6 linked regions of the Oryctolagus cuniculus genome follow. Each later gene encodes a partner of the first gene's protein in a complex. Links are inferred from orthologs where the notes say so. Each region holds a gene or a part of one and is shown in the gene's direction. Other genes may lie near its edges.

What was found.
Region 2: STRN3 (region 1) and STK24 share a complex: the UniProt entries of both Homo sapiens proteins name them as parts of the core of STRIPAK complex. The link is inferred for Oryctolagus cuniculus from reciprocal best matches to the Homo sapiens genes STRN3 and STK24.
Region 3: the proteins of STRN3 (region 1) and MOB-like protein phocein are in contact, whole or in part, in a cryo-EM structure (PDB 7K36), measured with the Homo sapiens proteins. The link is inferred for Oryctolagus cuniculus from reciprocal best matches to the Homo sapiens genes STRN3 and MOB4. Residues at the interface, in NP_001077362.1 of Homo sapiens: Arg477, Ser478, His479, Phe480, Asp481, Asp501, His502, Thr503, Glu524, Tyr527, Thr528, Arg530, Ala531, Ile533, Ile553, Pro569, Tyr570, Asp571, Thr572, Tyr573, Asp587, Ala588, Trp590, Ala606, Asn652, His683, Asn685, Arg765, Lys766, Lys767; in NP_056202.2 of Homo sapiens: Arg12, Asn13, Arg14, Pro15, Gly16, Thr17, Lys18, Phe22, Trp25, Thr36, Gln40, Gln41, Tyr71, Arg75, Cys78, Leu79, Asn82, Val86, Lys87, Gln89, Ala112, His113, Ile122, Asp123, Arg126, His127, Leu129, Asp130, Gly131, Ala133.
Region 4: the proteins of STRN3 (region 1) and STRIP1 are in contact, whole or in part, in a cryo-EM structure (PDB 7K36), measured with the Homo sapiens proteins. The link is inferred for Oryctolagus cuniculus from reciprocal best matches to the Homo sapiens genes STRN3 and STRIP1. Residues at the interface, in NP_001077362.1 of Homo sapiens: Thr64, Pro66, Gly67, Leu69, His70, Tyr71, Gln73, His74, Val88, Glu89, Ala91, Glu92, Ala95, Arg96, Phe99, Leu100, Glu103, Gly106, Gln107, Leu110, Asp113, Leu114; in NP_149079.2 of Homo sapiens: Arg441, Ile445, Tyr447, Leu449, Thr455, Val456, Val457, Gly458, Leu459, Arg491, Ser492, Pro493, Leu494, Ser495, Phe792, Leu793, Pro794, Val795, Asn797, Cys798, Leu799, Val802.
Region 5: STRN3 (region 1) and STK25 share a complex: the UniProt entries of both Homo sapiens proteins name them as parts of the core of STRIPAK complex. The link is inferred for Oryctolagus cuniculus from reciprocal best matches to the Homo sapiens genes STRN3 and STK25.
Region 6: STRN3 (region 1) and STRIP2 share a complex: the UniProt entries of both Homo sapiens proteins name them as parts of the core of STRIPAK complex. The link is inferred for Oryctolagus cuniculus from reciprocal best matches to the Homo sapiens genes STRN3 and STRIP2.

The regions. Positions count from the first base shown.
Region 1 is NC_091443.1:44,334,543-44,338,707, forward strand, and holds the start of STRN3 (striatin-3), read left to right. Parts: upstream 1-1,365; 5' UTR 1,366-1,752; coding exon 1,753-2,034; intron 2,035-2,038; exon of another isoform or gene 2,039-2,081; intron 2,082-2,154; exon of another isoform or gene 2,155-2,386; intron 2,387-2,644; exon of another isoform or gene 2,645-2,801; intron 2,802-4,165. UniProt on the Homo sapiens protein: Calmodulin-binding scaffolding protein which is the center of the striatin-interacting phosphatase and kinase (STRIPAK) complexes.
Region 2 is NC_091440.1:14,035,951-14,039,450, forward strand, and holds part of STK24 (serine/threonine-protein kinase 24), read left to right. Parts: intron 1-1,384; coding exon 1,385-1,615; intron 1,616-3,500. UniProt on the Homo sapiens protein: Serine/threonine-protein kinase that acts on both serine and threonine residues and promotes apoptosis in response to stress stimuli and caspase activation.
Region 3 is NC_091440.1:69,971,548-69,975,486, reverse strand, and holds MOB-like protein phocein, read left to right. Parts: upstream 1-1,139; 5' UTR 1,140-1,149; coding exon 1,150-1,827; 3' UTR 1,828-3,722; downstream 3,723-3,939.
Region 4 is NC_091438.1:60,289,706-60,293,869, reverse strand, and holds the start of STRIP1 (striatin-interacting protein 1), read left to right. Parts: upstream 1-1,364; 5' UTR 1,365-1,405; coding exon 1,406-1,585; intron 1,586-4,055; coding exon 4,056-4,125; intron 4,126-4,164. UniProt on the Homo sapiens protein: Plays a role in the regulation of cell morphology and cytoskeletal organization. Required in the cortical actin filament dynamics and cell shape. Part of the striatin-interacting phosphatase and kinase (STRIPAK) complexes.
Region 5 is NC_091434.1:283,383-286,882, forward strand, and holds part of STK25 (serine/threonine-protein kinase 25), read left to right. Parts: intron 1-827; coding exon 828-1,058; intron 1,059-1,593; coding exon 1,594-1,650; intron 1,651-1,975; coding exon 1,976-2,084; intron 2,085-2,883; coding exon 2,884-3,041; intron 3,042-3,126; coding exon 3,127-3,312; intron 3,313-3,500. UniProt on the Homo sapiens protein: Oxidant stress-activated serine/threonine kinase that may play a role in the response to environmental stress.
Region 6 is NC_091434.1:165,685,938-165,689,066, forward strand, and holds the end of STRIP2 (striatin-interacting protein 2), read left to right. Parts: intron 1-182; coding exon 183-433; 3' UTR 434-465; exon of another isoform or gene 466-2,271; 3' UTR 2,272-2,629; downstream 2,630-3,129. UniProt on the Homo sapiens protein: Plays a role in the regulation of cell morphology and cytoskeletal organization. Required in the control of cell shape. Calmodulin-binding scaffolding protein which is the center of the striatin-interacting phosphatase and kinase (STRIPAK) complexes.

The DNA.
Region 1 (4,165 bases):
TGTGATAGGAGCCACATCTCCCCCAAGGAATAGGACTGAATAAAGAGGTTCTATCCCGTCACTTTAAAATGAAAACAATTGTATTTAATAATATGGACAAATAGTTCTTAATATTACTACAATCTAAGATCTCACTTTATGCATATATAAAATATGGCAGCATGGGTAGTTACGTCTAAGCTGTTTTCCATTAAACTATAGTAACAAGGCAAATGATCTACCACTTTATCTCTTTGAAATCGCAAGCCAAATGGTGCATCCCATAGTGAAACTTTTGTTAGTTTTTTACAAGAAAAAACATTTTAGAGATGCAACTAATTGTACACCCAGTTTCCCTGTATGACTGTAATTACTGACCCTCTTTTCTTTATATGCTGTTAGAGTATCTTTGTCCTTTTTTCAACAAACGATCACTAGCTGTATTAACGATTGGAAAGTTACTAGTTCGTTAGGATATTTCCTGGGAAACTAAGCACGTAAAAATTACACGACTGTCCTTATACACACTTACCTTTTATGTGTATATTATATTCATTCAAACATTTAATGACCCAGGAAAACATCTTTAGCCGTCCACCCAGGATTTTAAACTATATTCATGCTGCTTTTATCTTCTATTTAGATCAAAAGATTCTATCATTAATGAAAGTTCTTGCGAGCTCATTCAGTTCTAAAACGTAACCCATCTCCTTCAAAGTTATCTTTTCCTTTCTAGTCACCATCGTCAAAATCCAAAGGATCTCACTACCTCCTCTTCTCCCAAGGGGGGAAAAAAAGAAAGAAAACGACCGTTTCCAGCTCCCCTCCCCACCCGCTGAAACACGCCCGTCCCAGGATGGGAGGCAAAGTGTAACAGGTCGGCAGGCGACCCGGCGCCCAGAAGCGGGACCGACTCGGGCAGCCAGTCACCACGGCCGCGAAGATCCGGGCGATCTGCCAGAAAGAGAACGTCCCCCAATCCCGGGAACTGACTGGCGCTCAGAAACCGGAGACAGAGCGAGTGACAGGCAGAGAAAGAGCCCCAACCCTGTGGGACCGCCTGAAACACGCAAAGAATGCAACAGAAACGTCAGGAATTCAGGGTGGGCAGCAACCGGCCAGAGCGATCAACCAAGTTCAAACCCAGCTCCGAAGGCAGGCACATGGCTGAGACCCTCGGGCTGGGTAACGGCTCCCGGGCTCGGTCTACGAACAGGAAACTGACAGTCTCTCGTTCAAGGCCCAACTGGCTCCCAAAAGTGGGAGCTGGAGCCCCAGCTTTGCGGTAACCCGCGTCGGGACACTCGGCACGGGTCTGAGGGCGGGCCTGGGGGAGGAGCCGCGCTCCTTCCCCGCCCCCTAACAGCCGCCTCTCCGCGGCCGGACGGCGTCCTCAGTGCGCCTGCGTAGGGTGAGGCCGCACTCTATTTGGCCATTAAGCGTGCGGCGGCAGCGGCGTTCTATACCCGGCATGCCGTGCGGGAGCGGCGATCCTACGTCGATCCCTTTTCCAACCCTGCCTCCTTTCCCCCCGCCCGCCGCGGCCCCCCCTTCCCCTAAAGTGAGTGAGTGAGACCGGCAGATGGAGGAGGGACTGTAATGGCGGCGGCCGGCAGCTCCCTGCTCTGACCCACGGCAGGCACACAGCAACGACCCCCTCCCCGCCCCTCTCCCGGCGGCCTCCGCCCCGCCGCCAGCGCGGTGCCACCCTCTCCGGCCCTTCCCCCGGCAGTCGGCGTCTCGCCCTGTGCCCCGGCCGGGGCCCCTCACACAATGGACGAGCTTGCCGGAGGCGGTGGTGGAGGCCCGGGGATGGCGGCCCCTCCCCGGCAGCAGCAGGGACCTGGGGGGAACCTGAGCCTCTCGCCGGGAGGGAATGGAGCGGCGGGCGGCGGGGGTCCAACGGCCTCGGAGGGAGCGGGTCCCGCGGCAGGCCCCGAGCTGTCCCGGCCGCAGCAGTACACTATCCCGGGGATCCTGCACTACATCCAGCACGAGTGGGCTCGGTTCGAGATGGAGCGAGCGCACTGGGAGGTGGAGCGGGCCGAACTGCAGGTACCTCGCTGGGGTCGGTGTGCGGGACGGCGGCGGCGGCGGCGGGGATCCCGGCCGGGGGGTGGGGCCGGGGCTCTCCTCCGCCGGCGCCCGCGACTTGGGAGGCCGGGAGGCACCTACCTGTGCGGCTCGGGGGTGCTGGTCCTGGCGTCGGCTCTTCCTAGGTCCCCCTCCCCCTTTCCCGCAGAAGCCCGTTCCCCAACCCTCACTTAGCTACGCGGTACGGGCTCGCTCGGGGCAGCCATTTTGGCTTTTAGTATGGCGTCTGCGGGGGCTCCTCCGGAGGCGGCCTGCCCGGGCCTCCGGGACTTGAGGCCGATCTCCTCTGTGCCGGAGAGTCCGGCGTGGGGCCTCTGGACCCCGAGTTTGCTCTTGTTTGTTCCTCTTGAGGTTGCGACCCCGAGGAGAGGGCCGGGGTGAGCATCTTCCCACCTTTTTCCGGACACCCCCACCCCTTCCCATTTGACTTGGGTGGCCCCTTCCCGCGACTTGGTGGGCACTTGCCCCTTGACAGGCACGCTTCTTCCTCGGACTGCCGCCAAGCACAGTGGCTGGCGGCTGACCTGTGAAGTTTCCGTTTCCCACCGTCTACTCCTCAGTACTTTCTTACCTGGGATGCTGCTTTACTCTCCCTTGGCTTCTCTGTAGTTCTTCCTTACTTAGTGACTCATCAACGCTTTGAACACCGGACTTGACTTTTCAGAGTACCTTTCGCTAGACCTCCCCCTCTCAGCCCCGAGATGACCGCTAGAAAGCCAAACCAAACTAAGCTGCTGGATTTCGGAAACGGCTGAGAAGACTGAACATTTTTACTTGAAGTAAAGCGTACTTCTCTGACATTACTGACTCATGCAGGAGAAGCCGGCTTAAATGTCCTGAGGATCCTTCCTCTTACTGTGACCCTTGGATAGTCCGCGTTATCTAGCTTTTGGAAGATACTGGTAGCTGGGGGCTCCTGTCTTGCCTTTCAAAATTGTTGCACGTTTTTGAAAGGGTTATTTAACTTTTTTTTTTTTTTTTTTTTTTTTTTTTTTTTGACAGGCAGAGTGGACAGTGAGAGAGACAGAGAGAGAAAGGTCTTCCTTTGCCGCTGGTTCACCCTCCAATGGCCGCCGCTGCAGCCGGCGCACCGCGCTGATCCTGGCAGGAGCCAGGAGCCAGGTGCTTTTCCTGGTCTCCCATGGGGTGCAGGGCCCAAGCACCTGGGCCATCCTCCACTGCACTCCCTGGCCATAGCAGAGAGCTGGCCTGGAAGAGGGGCAACCGGGACAGAATCCGGCGCCCCAACCGGGACTAGAACCCGGTGTGCCGGCGCCGCAAGGTGGAGGATTAGCCTATTGAGCCACGGCGCCGGCTTAACTTTTTTGAATAGTTGTGTTTAAGCCCCTTTCTAGGGCAGATTTAGGTCTAGAGGAAAAACATGTATCTAAATAGTGTTGCACCTGTTCTTCAGGCTGTTAATATATTTAGGATGCAAGCGGTGTTGTGCCTCGTCATATATGCCTATGGTGCATATAGTTAGGAAAACAGTGTTGAAGGAAGATTGGATTACATAGAAAGGGTGTCCTCAAACAAATGTGAATCTCTTCAGTTTGATTTTTGAACTAGTGAACCAATGATTCCACTAAGTGGGTGAAGTTAAACGTCTTTAAAAAGTTAAAATATTTACATATTTTGATACTTTATCAAGTTTCAAAAAATTTACAAGTTTACACCTGTTGTGTTTTAGAACTGTGCTGTGCTATACTATAGGGCTTTAAAAATACAACTTTCAAAAAGCTGAGGTCTGTGATTTCTTTTAACTTGGGTGCAGCCTTCTCTAAAATACTGAGATTTGTAGAGTTCTGTTGGTGTATAGCTACACTGTGCTGGGAACTTAATTTTCTGTGTAAGTAGAGTGAAGCTAGTAAAAACAATTATCTTAAAAAATCGCACTGAGGCTTGGACTCAACTAAATTATATGCCACTGGTCCATGATGATTTTTTGACCTTTGTTGTACACAAGCTTTGATTTTAACACTTTGCAAGTTAACAGTTGTACTTGTTACTCATAAGCTTCCTTCATGTTACGTAGCTGAGGAAAAGTTTTACTGGTATGAAGTCTATATTGCCTGCCCTAGCTCTTGTTTTT
Region 2 (3,500 bases), on another chromosome or scaffold:
TTCTTTGAAGGAATAAGAGACTTCGGAGGGTTGGCCCGGCATCCTCTTCCCTGTGCGTGTTATTGAGGACAGACGCATCAGGATTGGTGGCCCTGAGCTCTCCTTGCTCTGGGGGTTCTGGGTTGGCACTGGTCCCTGGTGCTGTTGGCATTTTGGGTTGGGCACTTCCTTGTGCAGAGATGGGTGGCATCCTAGGGCCCAGCCTCAGCTTGGTGACAAGTAGCCCCTCCCACTGTGCAGAGGTCAGGATGGGTGCTTGAGTCCTCACGGCTGGTTGGGGTCCTTGGGAATGAATCGGACAGGTGTGTTGGGGTCCTTGGCAGTGAGTACCACAGGTGTAGACAGGTGTGCATGCGACTAATCAGGTTCCCGGCGAAGAGCCTTCAGGAGCTGTTTCAAGGGCGCGGCATTTATGTGACGGAACGGCAGCCTGCTGCTGTTTTCTGGGGTCTGATGGGGGCGGTGTTGCAGAGCTGGGAGCTGGGATGTAAGTGAAGGCCTGGGGCTTATCTAGTGAGCATGAAAGCGTGGCCTGCTGTGAAGCAGTAGGATGCACGTTCCCTGTCACATGTGACAACCAGCCATGGCTTAGTAAATATCCATTTGAATTTAGGAAAATTTGGGCATAAGGTGGGCGAGCAAAGTGCACTTTCTGTTTGAGAGAAGGGTGTTTGGTTTTTTTTTTTTTTTTTTTTTTTTTTTTTTTTTACAGGCAGAGTTAGAGACAGAGAGAAAGGTCTTCCTTTTTCTGTTGGTTCACTACCCAAGTGGCTGCTACGGCTGGTGTGCTGTGGCCGGCGCGCTGCGCCAATCCGAAGGCAGGAGCCGGGTGCTTCCTCCTGGTCTCCCATGTGGGTGCAGGGCCCAAGGACCTGGGCCATCCTCCACTGCCTTCCTGGGCCACAGCAGAGAGCTGGACTGGAAGAGGAGCGACCGGGACAGAATCCGGTGCCCCAACTGGGATTAGAACCCGGTGTGCCGGCGCCGCAGGTGGAGCATTAGCCTAGTGAGCCGCGGCACTGGCGAGAAGGGTGCATTTTTAATAAGCTAATATATCTATTCTAACCTGTTCAAATAAGCATTTAGATTTTTAATTACTTTCATTATACAGCCGCTGGAGCCTTTTCCAGCTTTTCTAATCTAGCTGGGTGATGGTTCTTGCTGCACACATGCTGCGTGTAGTTGTCTAATCCACACAGGCTGCGAGACCTGGGAACCTCACTCCTGAGCTGAAGGACAGTGCTCACAGCCAGCCCGGTCCTTGACCCAGGAGCCACGTCAGTCCTGGGGGACTGGTCTGTGGCGTTTGTAACGCTGCTGATGACATGGAAGAACTGTCGTGACGCTGGGAAGTGTTAAATTCCCCTTCTTTTCTTTTCTGCAGAATCTGAAAGCGGATCCAGAAGAGCTTTTCACAAAACTCGAGAAAATCGGGAAGGGCTCCTTTGGCGAAGTGTTCAAGGGCATTGACAATCGGACTCAGAAAGTAGTTGCCATCAAAATCATTGATCTGGAAGAAGCAGAGGATGAGATAGAGGACATCCAGCAAGAAATCACCGTGCTGAGTCAGTGCGACAGTCCCTACGTAACCAAGTACTACGGGTCCTATCTGAAGGTAGGCTTAAAAATAACGCGTTTTCCGTGACGCAGTGCTGGACCGAGCCCCGAGCCCTGAGCGGCGCCGTAAAGGACTCGTTACAGCGTTCAGGTTATTGGAGGAGGGAGAAATGCTGGCTTTGCTGGTCCTGTCATCTCACACGTCACCTAAGGGAGCATGTTTCAAGTGTTTGATGTTGCAGTTCTGTTTCACACACGAAGGCATTTCTGAGTGGGACTTGGTTGTCAGCAACAGTTCTTATTAAGTCATAATAATAATAATATGTGATATTCAGATGGCTTATGATTGGCAGTAAAAGCCATCAACTGTGGTTTAATTTGATGTTCTTTTTAAAAATTGCTGCTGACAATTGATTAGTTTAGCCACATGTTTTCAAGAAGCAGTCACTTCAGTACAATAGTGGTTGCAGTGAAACGCAGCTCCACGAAGTACCCTTGACCTTGACCTTGACCTTTACTCAGCACTCAGTTTTTTTTTTTTTTTTTAATGTGCTTTTTGTTTTTAATTTGGGGGGCACAGATGCGCTAAAACAGAGAGCTCCTGTCTGTTGGTTCATTCCTTCAGTGCCCACATGGCTGTGGCTGGGCTGGGAGTCAGGAGCTCGTTGAAGTCTCCCATGTGGGCAGCAGGAACCCAACTGCTAGAATCATTACCTGCTGCCTCCCAGGGCTTCTGTTAGCAAGGAGCTGGAGTCAGGAACTGGTACTCTGCCAGGTGATTCAGGTTTCCTGTTTGCTGTCTTAACTGCCAGGCCTAACTCCCGCCCATTACTCCGTTGTTACAGATGGCTTTCTCATCCTGCATGAAACCGTTTTTGGCATTTTAGGTGTGTAGAGTGATCCTGTCCTACCACTAAGAAAACTAGAGAGGATCTCTTACATTTCAACTTCCTTAATAGGGGCTGGCTTCCCAGAACTTACAGATGTGATGTCTGTTCCCATGGGGTTTTGGAAATTTTAAGAATTGGTGGAGCTGGCGCTGTGGCACAGTGGGTTAAAGTGCCGGCCTCCCATATGGATGCCGGTTCGAGTCTTGTCTGCTCCACTTCCAGTCCAGCACCCTGCTGATGTGTTTGGGAGGGCGGCGGAGGATGGCTCAGGTCCTTGGGCCCCTGCACCCACGTGGGAGACCTGGAAGATGCTCCTGTTCCTGGCTTTGGATCGGCTCAGCTCCAGCTGTTACGGCCATCTGGGGAGTGAACCAGCGGATGGAAGACACCTCTCTGTCTCTACATCTTTCTGTAACTCTGTCTTTCAAATAAATAAAATAAATCTTAAAAAAAAATTGGTGAAAAAGCAGACTGCAACAGTTCTTGTGGATCCCAAATCCTAGTAGTTAGAAACGACCAAGAGGGCAGCAGTGGCCATGGGTAAGTTAAGAGCAGGCCTCCCCCTCTCCTGAGTCTGTTCCCTGAATTCCTAAGTTACAGCTTGCACCTTGCTGTGATGTCTGCAGGTCAGTGCAGGTGTTGGTCTTGTAGAAGGGCGGTAGGGTGTAAGTTGAAGATGGGCGTTTTGAGAACCCTTTTGAGTGCCCCATTTTTCCCATGGTATGGACAGTGGCAGTGCGTCATAGTGTCAAATGCATCATCCTGAAGCGGAAGGAGTGAGTTTTGGAGTCAGGTGACCTTGGAGTCAGGTGACCCTGGACCTGGATGTGCTGCTGGTGCGCTTGTATCTTACACTTTCCCACTTCCTTCTGTGTCAGGTGGGAAATTATGGTATAAATACGTCATTGTTGCAAAGACGAAATGGGGTCAGGTGTGCGGAGGTACCTGCCGTCTGGTGGGTGCTGAATTATTCCTTTCTTAACTGCTTGGATTTGTTCGTACCTCGTCCTGTGATGGGGGAGCTGGCAGTGAAGGCACACAGTGAGGCCAAGC
Region 3 (3,939 bases), on another chromosome or scaffold:
TTGCAAAAAGCCAGCCAACTTCTCAGGGAAGCAGTAAATGGCTTTTCTCTTTGCAGCCAACATGCAAATTTTGAAGCTCACTGAAAGGGTAGTCTCAGGCTTCACACAAGAGAAAATACAGGAAGACCGAGTCCTGCCAATGTAATTACCAGAGAGAAAGAGCTGACATGCCAGTACTAACAGCCATGGCCAAGGACACTGGTAAGAATTGCCATCATGGGGCTGGCGTTGTGGCATAGCAGGTTAAGCCACCACGTGCAATGCCGGCATCCCATTATGGCACTGATTGGAGTCCTGGCTTCTCCACTTCTGACCCAGATCCCTGCTAGTGTGCCTGGGAAAGCAGTGGAGAATGGCCCAAGTGCTTGAGTCCCTGCACTCATGAGGGAGACCGAGTTCCTGGCTCTTGACTTCAGCCTGGCCCAGCACCAGCCTTGCACCCATCTGGGGAGTGAACTAGTAGATGGGAGATCTCTTTCTCTCCCATCTCTCCCTCTCTCTCTTTCTGCAACTCTACTTTTCAAGGAAATAAAATAAACTGCATCATGAAGACAGGGAACATCAGAACTAATGGTCAAAGGCTAGTGTTCTTTAGGATTTCTTGGGATATTTCAGAGATTTTGGAGCAAGAGAGAGAGGGAAAGGGAGGGAAGGAGGAAGGCAATATCACTATGTTCATAGAATTGTATCTACATGTTACATTGACTGCTTATAACTAATTGAAAATCAAAATTAAAAAATAAAATTTTTAAAAACACATTTACTGTTCTCACTTTTATATATATAATACACACACACACACACACACATATATATATAATTTTCATTTGTTTCTCACTCGGCAACCATTCCTCCTGGTGGCTCTACCTTAGCAAGAATATCCAGATTCTTTTTTGTCTTCCTCTCTCCCTCCCCTCCTGCATCCCTCCCTCACTTCCTCTGTGTGTATCCAGATTCTAATGGTATGACTACAGCATTCCTGTGGCAGCCAAGCACCATCATATCTCCTACCAGGTTGCTCTGCACCCATGCGTGCCTCCCTGGGGTCAGTTCTCAACATAAGTCCAGAGTGATGCATGGTCACAGGAGTTCAAAAACTCACAGATGAATAGAAATTTTCTTAAAAGGCAGGGTGGAGATTCTGGCACTATGGTCATGGCGGAGGGGACGGCAGTGTTGAGGCGGAACAGGCCGGGCACCAAGGCGCAGGATTTCTATAATTGGCCTGATGAATCCTTTGATGAAATGGACAGTACACTTGCTGTTCAGCAGTATATTCAGCAGAACATAAGAGCAGATTGCTCCAATATTGATAAAATTCTTGAACCACCTGAAGGCCAAGATGAAGGTGTATGGAAGTATGAACATTTAAGGCAATTCTGTCTTGAGCTAAATGGACTTGCTGTCAAACTTCAGAGTGAATGCCATCCAGATACTTGTACTCAAATGACAGCAACTGAACAGTGGATTTTTCTGTGTGCAGCTCATAAAACTCCAAAAGAGTGTCCTGCTATAGACTATACTAGACACACGCTTGATGGTGCTGCATGTCTTCTGAATAGCAATAAATATTTTCCTAGCAGGGTTAGCATAAAGGAATCATCTGTAGCAAAACTAGGATCAGTATGCCGTAGGATTTATAGAATATTTTCGCATGCTTATTTTCATCACCGGCAGATATTTGATGAATATGAAAATGAAACCTTTTTGTGTCATCGGTTTACTAAATTTGTGATGAAATACAATTTGATGTCCAAGGATAACCTGATTGTACCAATTTTAGAAGAGGAAGTTCAGAATTCAGTTTCTGGAGAAAGTGAAGCATGAAGGGAATCGTACAGAAAAATGTACTGATCACATAATTAACGTTCATTATGTACTGTATATATCATTTTAGACACATCAATCATGTATTCATATTATAGCTTCTTTGTTTAGATTAGGTTTTTGTATGCTGTGTGTTGCCTTTTAAAAGGGGAAATACTTTTTAAGTTATTCATAAGCTGTATATTCACCGGTGTGGCACTCATGGTTTTTTAAATAAGATTAGTATTATCTGTTTATAATGCCTGTTAATAAAAGAATTTACAGTTTGGTAAAATTGCTGCTAAACAATCATTGGATTACAATCCTCATCAAATAAACCCATATATAAAAAGATGAGTAAGCTTGAGGTCTTGCACAAACCATTTACTAAAGAGATAGTAATGTTTTCCTTTCATTTTGTCCCTGAATTTAGATATTATAGAAAATTCTATAGAACATAAACTGTAAACTTTTCCAAAATGAGATAAAAGTACTTTAAAATTCTGTTTATAGTTTTTGATATGCATTTATGATTATGTGTATATCCAAATATAAATGCAAATGAAGCATTAGTAATTCTTATATAATCTTACTATGCTATATAAAGTATATTCTAGGCCAGCATACTTGGAAAGGATATACCTTTTTACAGCAGTGGACTGTTACATATAAGTTGATGCTAATGATAAGGCACATAAAAGGTATTCCCACTGGAAAACTGTTCACCCCCTTCTCACTTCCCATAATCCTGTCCCCAGATACTTTAGCTGAGAAGTCTTTCACCAGACTGTGACTTAGTGGTGACTTATACCTGTTTATACTCATGTTTGTATTAATTGCTTACAGATTTACCTCATATTAGCAATTATATTACACTACAAGAAAGATGTGTTGGCATAGGCTCTTTGTTTTGTGAAAATTTTCTAACTACTTGGAAGACAGACCTTAAAGCCATTTGATTCTTCCTCTCAGTAATATTAATCTTTTCATCTTACTCTAGGCAGCATTAGAGTTAAAGAAATATTGTAGTATTTATTTTGTACCCTTTCTCCACAAAATTTGAATTAAATACATATGTGAGGTTATTTGCAATAATTGATGCAAGGGTGTTGATGAATGGCCATACATTTTTTAGACTTTGTTGTAGCATATAAGAATTTGGGTGCAGATGTAACGATCTTATAATCTATTGAATGCAGTTTTTCATGGAGTACTAGAGAGGTCTTATTGCCAAATTGATTGTAATGAGGCACTAAGATAGGGTAGAAAAATTATACATGTAGTGAAGAAAATACTTAAACTCATCTCTAAGACATATTTAACAAATGTGAGAAAATTTTTCATTTAAAATAGTTATTTTGAAATGAAGATGAAAATGTATTCATCTTGATTGTCTTCAAAGAAATTATTTATACCATATTATGAGACAAGTATGCAAAGAAAAAAATATGAGAAATAGTAGCATACTGAGAGTGTGTGTATATAGTTTATGCCTTTCCAAGGCTGCCAATCGTTTTGGCTTTGAACAGTACTGTCCCAGCAGCCACAGTCCTTATTGTACCCCAACTCACAGCTATCTTTTAGAAGTTTTATGTTCACGGTGAAAGGAATGTTGAGTTTGAAATTATACGTTTTTTTTTTTTAATGTCACTATAAACTAATGGAATAGTAATTTTTAAGCAAACTTGCTGAATATTGAGAGAATAACCTACTAAGTTAAATTATAGATAGCAATGTAGCTCTTCTCTCTTGATGGTTTCTCATAATGGCTTTCTGTTACTTGACTATTTTCTTGGTGAACATTAGAACTAAAATAGTGACTGGAATTGGTTATCTGGCTAAGGATTTTGAAACACATTTTGAATAATATGACTTAGTGTTTAATGGGGAAATAAAATGATATTTTTTCGTATTCATTCCATCTTCCCTGTACTGTGTTTGGAATTGATCATAAAAGAAAAAAAAAAACTCCAAAAGAAAAAAAAAAAAAAAAAAAGGCAGGGTGGAGGGGGCAAGTGTTTAGTGCTGCAGTTATGTTGCCATTTGGGATGCCAGCATCCAGTACTGGAGTGCTTGCTTTGAATCCTAGTTACTCTGCTTCTGATCTGGCTTCCTGCTAATCTGCACCATGGG
Region 4 (4,164 bases), on another chromosome or scaffold:
GTGTGGCTTAACCCATTAGCCAGCCCCCACTTGCCACCTCATAATCCCTTATACTTACTCTTGTTTTTCTCTCCTTGGATCAAACTTTGTTAAGGCTCCTGAGTCTTCTGCCTGACCAGGCCTGAACTGGGGCTCCCTTCTCTGTCCTTGTTGAATCCAGTTTGAGCAAGAATCCTGCAAAGTCAGTTTAACAAAAAACTCACCCTTGATGTGGGACCACTCTTGATGTCTCAGTACTCTGGCTGCCCCCAGCAGTAATCCTGTCAAGTCAGCTTAGTCAGAAACCTTACCCTTGATGCTTCCTCCTAGTAGTTTTTGGTCCACGGATCCTCACTTGTCCTTTTTGGAGGCAAAGTTAGGTTCAATCTCTCCCTTAAGGCAAGCCAAAGTTGCAGTGGCCCCTATACTTGTGCCCTGTTGAACAAATTCTGCCCTGATATCTTTAAATGTTTTTTTGTTTTTTTTTTTGACAGGCAGAGTGGACAGTGAGAGAGAGAGACAGAGAGAAAGGTCTTCCTTTGCCGTTGGTTCACCCTCCACTGGCTGCCGCGGCCGGCGCACTGCGGCCGGCGCACCACGCTGATCCGATGGCAGGAGCCAGGAGCCAGGTGCTTTTCCTGGTCTCCCATGGGGTGCAGGGCCCAAGCACCTGGGCCATCCTCCACTGCACTACCTGGCCATAGCAGAGAGCTGGCCTGGAAGAGGGGCAACCGGGACAGAATCCGGTGCCCTGACCGGGACTAGAACCCGGTGTGCCGGCGCCGCAAGGTGGAGGATTAGCCTATTGAGCCACGGCGCCGGCTCTGCCCTGATATCTTTAACAAGTGTCATGAATACCTTTTCCTCGAATACCTCACAGCCTTATTTCTCTAATATCACCCTTTTTTGTTCATTGTTTGGCCCACTAGGCATTTATGGACTGGGAGTTTTCTCTGTGCTATCTCACTGCTTAAGCATAGCAGACAATGAGTGCACGTGCCACACTGTGATTGATTTAGTCGTGCATGGCTACCCCAAATGAGTGCAAACTCCATGAAAAGGTCTTATCCATCTTGTTCCCTACGGTATCCCTAAGTTTTGAACACTGCTATGACATTGCTAAGTGTAAATCGATTTTAGAGGAAAGAGGGGGGCCGCTAAACAGACTGAACGAGATAGAGCAGGCCTCACACACAGAACGACATCTGAGTAGAACTGGAGAGAAAGAGCAGAAACTGAAAAGACCAAGAAAACCAGTATTTCAGCCAGGAGAAATATCGCGAGATGTCGGGCAGCCAAGATGGCTTCCCGCACTTGCCGCCACACTCAATATGGCGAACAGAGAGAGCGTTCCTGGAGGAAGTCACGCGAGATTTGCATCCCGGGGACTGTTCGTGAATTGAGCCGGGGGTGTGGAACAGCCAAGATGGAGCCGGCAGCCGGTGGTCCAGGCCCTCTGATTGTGAATAACAAACAGCCTCAGCCGCCGCCACCTCCACCGCCCGCGGCTGCGCAGCCTCCCCCTGGAGCACCGCGAGCGGGCGGAGGCCTCTTGCCCGGAGGCAAAACCCGCGAGTTCAACCGCAACCAGCGCAAAGACTCGGAGGTCAGGAGCTTCTGGGGGCGAGGCTAGGACCCGGCGGGCGGCGGCTGGGGGCCCGGGCTCGCGCTCGCGGCCGAGCTGGGCTTCCCGGGGGGTTCGGCGGGGCGGGACCGGGGAGCTGTCACTTTACAGCCGAAGGAGCAGGCAGCGAGGCTGGTGTGGCAGTTCCCCGGGCCGGGGGCGTGAGGCTGGCAGCGCCGCCCGAGACAGGCTCCCGGAGCCGGCATCCACCCGCTGGCTCCCGCGGACAAGCCGCCCCCGCCGCGGCCGCCGATGAAAAGCGGGCGCCCCCAGTCTCTTATCCTCTCGGTGGAGGGCGCCGACCGGACGGCGCGGGCGGGCAGGGAGGCGGCTGGCGAGGGTTTAGACACAAGGCGCCTGGAAGGCGGATGGAGCTAATGACCACTCATAGTACAGCGAGGCCGGAGCTTTCGAGAGCAGGGGGCGTTGCCTCTGGTGCAGGCTCCGGCCATGGGTTGGCAGTGCTTGGTGTGCCCAGAGCGCCCGATGCTGGGGGCCCTTAAAGGATTAGACGCACTCGTGCCGGGGACCCAGGCTTCGCTCGAGTTCCAGGGGCGCCGGCTGGGGAGCAGCTGACTGCTCACCTCGCCCCGAGAGAAGGCGTTGCTCCTACCGCTTCCCTGCGCAGATTCATGAATGAAGACGCACGTCGCAGCGTTGTAGGGCATCGTAATCAGCGCGTGCCAGAGCTCTTACTATGCAGTCTCCTTCACCTGACGCAATCCCGGGCCGCTCCGCCGACTGGCGCTGATGAGTGAGAGGGAGCCATCGCTGTCCAGGCGCAGTGTCCCCACTCTTCCCCGCCGCAGAGCCGGGATACTGGCTTTGGACGTGCAGGATCAGCTCCTCTCCGTCTTCTGTGCTTTTGTTGCAACCCCAGACCTCTGGTGTAAAACACTGGCAAGCTCAGAGTTGGAGCTGGAAGTGAATTCTTTGGAAAAGCAAAGGAAACCGACGTTTGTGGGACCCGTGGGTGGTGGGACATCCAGGAGGACGACTCAGTACTTTTTCAAGCACGGGGAGGTTGTGAGAGTGAGGGGCGTAAGCCCACCTTCATCCTGAGAGGGGTTATTTTTGAAAATGGCTTTACATTTTCCTGAGTAGCCATGACCAGTTGAATACCGTTGGGTGCATTTTCACGTCTCTTACTACCTTTTCATTTCCACCGAGACTGAACCCACGGGAGGCCAGGAGACTGTCTGCAGGTGTCTCCTTAAGGTGCAGAGGCTGAGTCAGGCGGAAGGCAGTAGCTGGGAGCTGGATCTATGCCTGGGAGATAGGGAGGCTGATCTCTGCCGAGAGCGCTCTGTGCTACATAATCCTGATCGGTTCTTAAAAACCTGCAGGGTAGACTTTCCTCATCCCCATTCCAAAAAGGAAGAAACTGGGGCTGGCACTGTGGCGTGGTGGGTTAAGCCATCGCCTGCGAGGCCCACATCCCATATGGGCACTGGTTCAAGTCCCAGCTGCTCCACTTCTGACCCAGCTCTCTGCTATGGCCTGGGAAAGCAGCGGAAGATGGCCCAAGCGTTTGGGGTCCTGCACCCGTGTGGGAGACCCAGATGAAGTGCCTGACTTTCGCCTGGCCCAGCCCTGCCTGTTGTGGTCATTTGGGGAGTGAAGCAGTGGGTGAAAGTTCTCGTTCTCTGTCTCTCTCTCTCTCTCTGTAACTCTGACTTTCAAATGACTAAGTAAAGTAAATCTTCTAAAAAGGAAAGTGCGAAGCTCAGTGACTTGGGAGAGGGGTCGTGTGTTGTCTCGGAATAAGGGGCAGAGCTCTTGTTGTAGATGTTACCTAAGACTGAGGGTGGGAACCGCTCTCTTCACCACTCTGCTATCGCGAGGCCTACAGGACGGTGTGTTCTGGGTAATCACCTGTGCCCAGCAGTGAAAAGGGTCTGTCGCATTCTCCTGTGTGTGGGAGGCGGGCCCATCTGTTTGCTGCCTTCTCTGTCAGTTCTCACTGCAGTTTGAGACAAGGGCGAGAGACTAAGAGTTTGAATGCTGGGTTGATAGCCCACTAGCTGCCTAGATTCTGGAATCCTAGCACTTTGTGGAATAGTGGCTTCAGGGCACAACGTACTTGGAAGCTTTGTGTTCGTTCATTTGAGAGGGATTTGAATATAAAGCAGTGGAGGACTGTGCTGGGCATTGTGAAATCGCTGCTGATCAACGTGGACTGACTTCCTGCTTTCAAGGGCCTTGCAGTCTCGTGGCGAGGTGGAAACTGGACCCCACATGCAGTAGTTACAGGCGCTCTGGAGGGACAGGATAAGGTGCTCTGAGACGGCTTGGTGGGGAGGAGCGCGGGGCTAGCCCAGGAGACGAAATATGGTGATCGAACAGCAAGCAAAGGGGAGGCAGTGGTTTCCTGGGAACAGTGGTGGCTCTGGGTGCATTTCTGTTTCCTGCTTTGTAAAGTACGCGTAACGCTGTCTCCTTTTGTCAACAGGGCTACTCCGAGTCACCAGACCTTGAGTTTGAATATGCTGACACAGACAAGTGGGCCGCAGAGCTGTCGGGTAAAGCACAGTCCTTTTGTCATCTGGGGGCAGTTTTCT
Region 5 (3,500 bases), on another chromosome or scaffold:
AAACCCGAGGACCATGTGGTCAGCGTCTGTGGAGTTGGAGTACCTGGACTCAGGCTTCTGAGAAAGGCCAGTGCTGGACTCTGCTGGTGTGACCCTGGTTCCGGGGTGGGGAAGTCCTCCAGGGGCTGTGGCTGTGATGTAGGGTCTCATCACCACAGGTTGGGTTCTGTTGTTCTTAATAGATTGTATGAATATGTTTTTAGATCTATGAGTTTATTTGAAAGGCAGGGTTACAGAGAGAGGGGGAGAAACGGGGGTCTTCCGTCCTCTGGTTCACTCCCCAGATGGCTGCCATGCCTGGGGCTGGGCTAGGCTGAAGCCAGGAGGTGGAGCTCCATCCAGATCTCTTTCGGGGTGGCAGAGGCCCAAGCACTTGGGTCATCTTCCGCTGCTTTTCCAGGCACGTTGGCAGGGAGCTAGATCGGAATTGGAGTAGTCAGGACGGGAACCCGTGTTCATAGGGGATGCTGGCGTCACAGGCGATGGCTTAACCCGCTGCACCACAGAGCCAGGCCTTAGGTGGCATTTTGTAGGAATGGTTTTGGGGTGATAGAGTCCCTGCATCCCTGCCTGCCTCCTGGGGGTGCTGACCTGCTGGTATCTTGCACAGCTGTGGACATGGTCCCAGGTGCTCTGTGTCTTTCCCTGAGGAGCTGCTGCCTTACAAGGAGAGGGAATTGTAGTTTTCTGAACAAAAAAGGTAAAAGATAAAACCAGAAAAGGACTGCCCCGTGCCTGCTGCAGGTCCCTGAGGTGTGTCCCCCGGGGAGCCTCTGCCTGTCCAGCCCCTGACCGGCGTTGCCCACCCTGTCCCTTGGGCCCTGCAGCACCCCCGCGTGGACCCCGAGGAGCTGTTCACCAAGCTGGACCGCATCGGCAAGGGCTCGTTCGGGGAGGTGTACAAGGGCATCGACAACCACACCAAGGAGGTGGTGGCCATCAAGATCATCGACCTGGAGGAGGCGGAGGACGAGATCGAGGACATCCAGCAGGAGATCACCGTGCTCAGCCAGTGCGACAGCCCCTACATCACCCGCTACTTCGGCTCCTACCTGAAGGTGGCTGGGGGGCTTGGCGCCTGCCTGGAGCACTGGCCGTGTCTGCCAAGTGCTCCACGGGGTGCGCTGCCAGGGGAGCCAGGAGGCTGCTGGGGGCTTTTCCTGTTGGGGTTCCTCGGGGGGACAGCCCTGGCTGGCTCCTCCCCACTTGCGACTGGGAGGGGTCTGTGGACTCCACACCTGGGCCTGCTTCCCGGCCACAGCCAAGAGCTAATGGGTTTCTTTTCTTTATTTTTTAAGGCAGAAATCTTCTATCTGCTGGTTCACTCCCCAAGTGGCTACAGTGCCTGGGGCTGGCCTGGGCTGGGCCATGCCAAAGCCGGGAGCTCGGAGCTTTCTCTGGGTCTCCCACAAAGATGTGGGGGCCATCTTCTGCTGCTTGTCCGGCTGTGTTAGCAGGGAGCTGGGTTGGAAGTGGAGCAGCTGGCTGCACTTGAACTGGTTGCTCATGCGGGGTGCTGGCATTGCAGGCAGTGGCTTAACCTCCACTCCACAGTGCTGGTCCCAAGAGCTAATGGCTTTCTCTGTGTTCCAGAGCACCAAGCTCTGGATTATCATGGAGTACCTTGGTGGTGGCTCCGCACTGGACCTGGTAAGGTGTGGGCCCCAATAGTGGGCGGCTTGCTGTGGGGGGTGTCACAGCTCCCGTGGGCCTCCTCTCGGTGTTTTAATGGATTTGGTGTTCGGAGGGATCCTGGTCCCTGTCGAGGAGGGTGGCAGTGCGCCCAAGTGGGTGGTCCAGCTGGGCCCCGTCCCCTGCCAGGCTTTCAGTGAAGGTACAAGCAGGCTCGCCTGCCCTGGAGGGACCTGGAGCCTCAGATGTGCACAGGGCACCCCTCTTGGAGGGGCTGGAATCGAGGCCCCGGCCTTGTGGGGGTGGGGGAGCCGAGGCCCTGCTGTCCCGTCTTCCCGTGCAGCTGAAGCCCGGCCCCCTGGAAGAGACCTCCATCGCCACGATCCTGCGGGAGATCCTGAAGGGCTTGGACTACCTGCACTCGGAGCGCAAGATCCACCGGGACATCAAAGGTCCTGTGGGGGCCGGGCTGTGGGCATGCTGCCACGGGCCTGGGTGTGGGGGCCCTGTGGTCCTGCTGCCGTGGGGGGTGGGGGGTGGGGGCCGGGCTGTGGGCGTGCTGCCACGGGCCTGGGTGTGGGGGCCCTGTGGTCCTGCTGCCGTGGGGGGTGGGGGGTGGGGGTCGTGCTGTGGGCGTGCTGCCACGGGCCTGGGTGTGGGGGCCCTGTGGTCCTGCTGCCGTGGGGGGTGGGGGGTGGGGGTCGTGCTGTGGGCGTGCTGCCACGGGCCTGGGTGTGGGGGCCCTGTGGTCCTGCTGCCGTGGGGGGTGGGGGCCGGGCTGTGGCCATCTGGGGGCTCCATTTCCAGGAAGTGCTGTCAGTGGTGCAGCTCAGAGGGTTTGTGGGACCCCACCGTGTGGCCCCCTCCTCACTGTATGCGTGAGGCTGCACCTGCCATGGGAAGGACTTGTCCAGGCTGTGAGGATGCAGCCAGCCAAGCAAGGGGCTTCCTGGCCAGCTTGGGTCAGGTTCAGGATCAGGGTCAGCTCTGCAGGAGCCTGTGGGGTGCTGCTCTGGTGGCACATTGGGTAAGCCAGTACAGAGAGGGCCCTAGAGCTTAGGCTGGGCAGTTCAGGGTCGGCTTGCTGGGCTCTTGCTGGTCATGCCCTGGAGCCCATGTTGGCATGGGTTTGAGTGTGCCAAGGAGAGCTTAGGTACCTGGGAGGGGGTCCCTGGGTCAGGCAGCCACACGCAGGACTGCCTGGGGGCACTGGGAGCTGAGGCTGACGCGCCCCTGTCCTGTGTCGAGCAGCCGCCAACGTGCTGCTGTCTGAGCAGGGCGACGTGAAACTGGCGGACTTTGGGGTGGCCGGGCAGCTCACGGACACGCAGATCAAGAGGAACACGTTTGTGGGCACGCCCTTCTGGATGGCGCCCGAGGTCATCAAACAGTCTGCCTATGACTTCAAGGTGGGTGACAGCGGCCAGGGCTGTGGGTGCCGTGGCCTCCTCGGGGTGCCGCACGCAGCAGTGGTCCTTTTGGCACCCTGTGCAGGCCGACATCTGGTCCTTGGGAATCACAGCCATCGAACTTGCCAAGGGGGAGCCCCCGAACTCCGACCTGCACCCCATGCGAGTCCTGTTCCTGATCCCCAAGAACAACCCACCCACGCTGGAGGGTGCCCACAGCAAGCCCTTCAAGGAGTTCGTGGAGGCCTGCCTCAACAAGGACCCCCGCTTCGTAAGGCCCGCCTCACCCCCTGACCCAGGCAGGCTGTGGCCTGCGCAGCTCCCAGAATGGGGGGGTGTTCACCCAGGGGGCAGCAGGATTCAGAGGTGACTCCCAGCCTCGGTGCCCATCCTGTCGTGTGCGTGGCCTCCCTGGGGCAGCGCCCAGCCTGTCACGTGTGTGGCCTCCCCGGGGCAGCG
Region 6 (3,129 bases), on another chromosome or scaffold:
GATGCTGTCTGCGTATACAAGCTTACGTGTGTGGGCATCATGTGTATTTTTTAACCCTAGTTGTCAGCACGCTGTATACTTGACTTTGTATATTGCTCATGGAGTGCCGTGGACCTTGCTCTCTGGCAGGGGCGTGCTGTCCTGACTGTGGACATCTTTTTCTCCCTCTCTTCCCGACGCAGACATCGATGCCAGGCCATGGGACTTCCAGGCAGAAGAGTGCACCCTGCGGGCCAACATCGAGGCTTTTAACAGCCGGCGGTATGACAGGCCCCAGGACTCGGAATTTTCCCCTGTGGATAATTGTTTGCAGAGCGTGCTGGGGCAGAGGTTGGATCTGCCTGAAGATTTCCACTATTCCTACGAGCTCTGGCTGGAGAGAGAGGTGTTTTCACAGCCCATCTGTTGGGAGGAGCTACTGCAGAATCACTGAGCCCTTGTCAACAAAGCATCTACTAGATGGAGGTTGGCTCCAATACATGGTGCTCTGCCTACCCTGCCCACTCAGCCTCTGTTTCCAGCTCCAGGACTGCTTGTTCAGGGGGATCTGGCCCAGCCCAGGGACGTGAAGTGTAGTTCAGGGCCAGTCCGGGAACTTGTGGACCTAGAGATGGCGGGAGGCTGCTGAGTCCCAGCAAGTTGATGGACTTGCCCAGGGGTCAGTCGGCTGCCCAGCTGACTTTGGAAATCTCTGGGTGGATCAATCCTTGCCGGCTCTTTGGTGGGACCTCTGCCCGCTTGAGTCTTAGCTAGACCCAGGGCTAGCCTCTGCTGGCTCCCAGAAGGAGACGTTGGTGAAGACGTCGGGCCCACAGCATTCATCACAGGGAGGAAGGAGGTGCAGGTCACGTAATAGGCACACGTTTTCCTGGTCACCCTGGATTCCTAGCACTCGTCAGAAGTGTGGTAAAACCAACTTTGAGATGAAGTGTGTCTTTTACATTTTAAATTTTAATCGTTAGCTCTAGGATGACTTTGGAGCACCTGCACCTCCTTTGTGGAGGATGATGACTTTCGGTTCCCTAAATGCCGCATGTTACACAAAAGTGGGTATAGAGGGTTTTTTCCCTTTATTTCCAAAGAGATCTGTGTTCACTATGAAAATTACTCCCTTGTGTACCTTGTGTAGGGCATGAAGTACACTGCCGTTTTGAAAGGGCCACAACCAACACGAAACAATCAGCCCCTCTCTAAGGACGCTTCTTGTTTTTCTCAAACTACTTCAGTCTTAAAATGGCCGCATACGCTGCAGAAAATTATCCTTTTCATCCAAGTCATTTTTTTTAATGACAAGCTAACTACAGGGGGTTTTATTTATTGAGATGTCATGTCCATTTGTGCTCATGATTGATTTATTTTTAATTGAAAAGAACAGCAAGAGCATCACAGCTGGCCATTTTTCTTCTCCTCCAATGTTGATTAATGTTTTTTTTTCCCCTTTTTACTGCTAGCAGTTTCAATGTGTCATGTGGAGATTTAGCAGTCCTGCTCCTACCTACACGTATTGCACATTTCACTGCAGATGGAAGGGTTGATGCATCAGCCTCTCTGTACTTCTCTCTTCCACAGCAGAGTCACAGCCCCACCCCCACCCCCACCCCCACCCCCCTGCGAAACAGGCTCGTAGAAAAGTCCCTGACTCAGCCAGGATCCTTTACTGCTCTGTGTCCCCACCATTGTCATCTAGATATTCACGCTCCTTTAATGCCCACCCCCAAGGGCAGACACTGCTGATCTCTTTATGATGGCACCAGGAACACACTCTGGAGGTCTAGCCCAAGCTGGCTTATTCACCCTGCCCTTTGTCAACCACATCTCGTTAGGAAGCCATGACAGAGCTCTGGCGATACCTGAAGGAGCTGAATCAACATATCACAATTAAACTGGGTTTTATCTCTTTGTGTTTGCAGATAGCAGCGGTTCCCTTTTTACAGAAAAGTCCTGAGGAATGTAAGCATGCAATGGATGAACTTCTTAAAGTAAACTGTAAATTCTACGTAGGCAGGACAGAAGTCTCCCCTGTGATCAAAATAATTTACTGAGCATAGCTTCTGTGAATTTTAGTCATCCAGGATCAGCCCAGTATGATTTTAATATAACTCGCATGAAAAGACAAGTTGTCAAGAAGAGAGCAATCTATTTCTTTTAAAGTCATGTAGTTCATTCACTTTGTGTCAGGGATACGTTGCCCTTTTAAAAGCATGCACGAGTATGTCTTCGGAGGCACAGAGGCATGCTAAGATTTCACGTTTCACCGTTCGTTATTTACAGCTCCTGCGTGAGGGAAGTGCATGTGTAGACACTAAAGCACCAAGGACGAATGATCAGCTTCAAATCACAGGGAGTTTCCCCAGGCTCGCTGGGCCTGGCTCTCAGGACCTGCCACCCAGCCCTGTATACTAAGGTAGCCATGCTGAATCTCCAGTCTGGGAGCCCATCTGTGTGGTCAGGGATAAATTCATGTCAACTGACTTCCAGTGGTGATTGCTGTTACTACGTAGAACACTTGAGTGATTTGTAAAGAGAAGATTTTTATTTGTGAATATTTCAGCAAAAGTTTATGTGGATTGATAACACTGTTATCTACTGAAGCACTTTAATAAAAAGAAAAATAATCTGGAAATAGAAATTTGGTCTCTAAAGGTTTTTTTTTTAATGCAAGATAATCTTAAAGTCATACTATACTATTTATAAAAAGGAAGAACATTCATAGGCGGTAATTATGGAAACCCTTGCATTATGGAACCCTGACTGTTCCCTGGCGTAGACTAACACAAACGACTCAATCCTGTGATTTCGGACCAATGCTGACTCCTTGCTCCCGAGTCTAGAAGGCTGCTGCAGGTCTGCCCCACTTAGCGTGGCTTGCAAGATTCACTCTGCTCCAACGCTCTTATTCCAGCGCTGGGCTGATAGAATAGCTCCTGCTTGGGACACACCATTTTCATAGTAAAGGGCAAAAGTAAGAAACAAAACCTACGAGGCAAGCCCAGGTAAAGCTCCCGCTTGGATGTGGCATAAATCAAACTGTCCATATTCCACTGGTCAAAAGCAACTCATGTGGCAAAGATGAATACTGGGCCAAAGAAACACATTCTACCTACAGAGCAGCAAGTATAGGATGGAGTG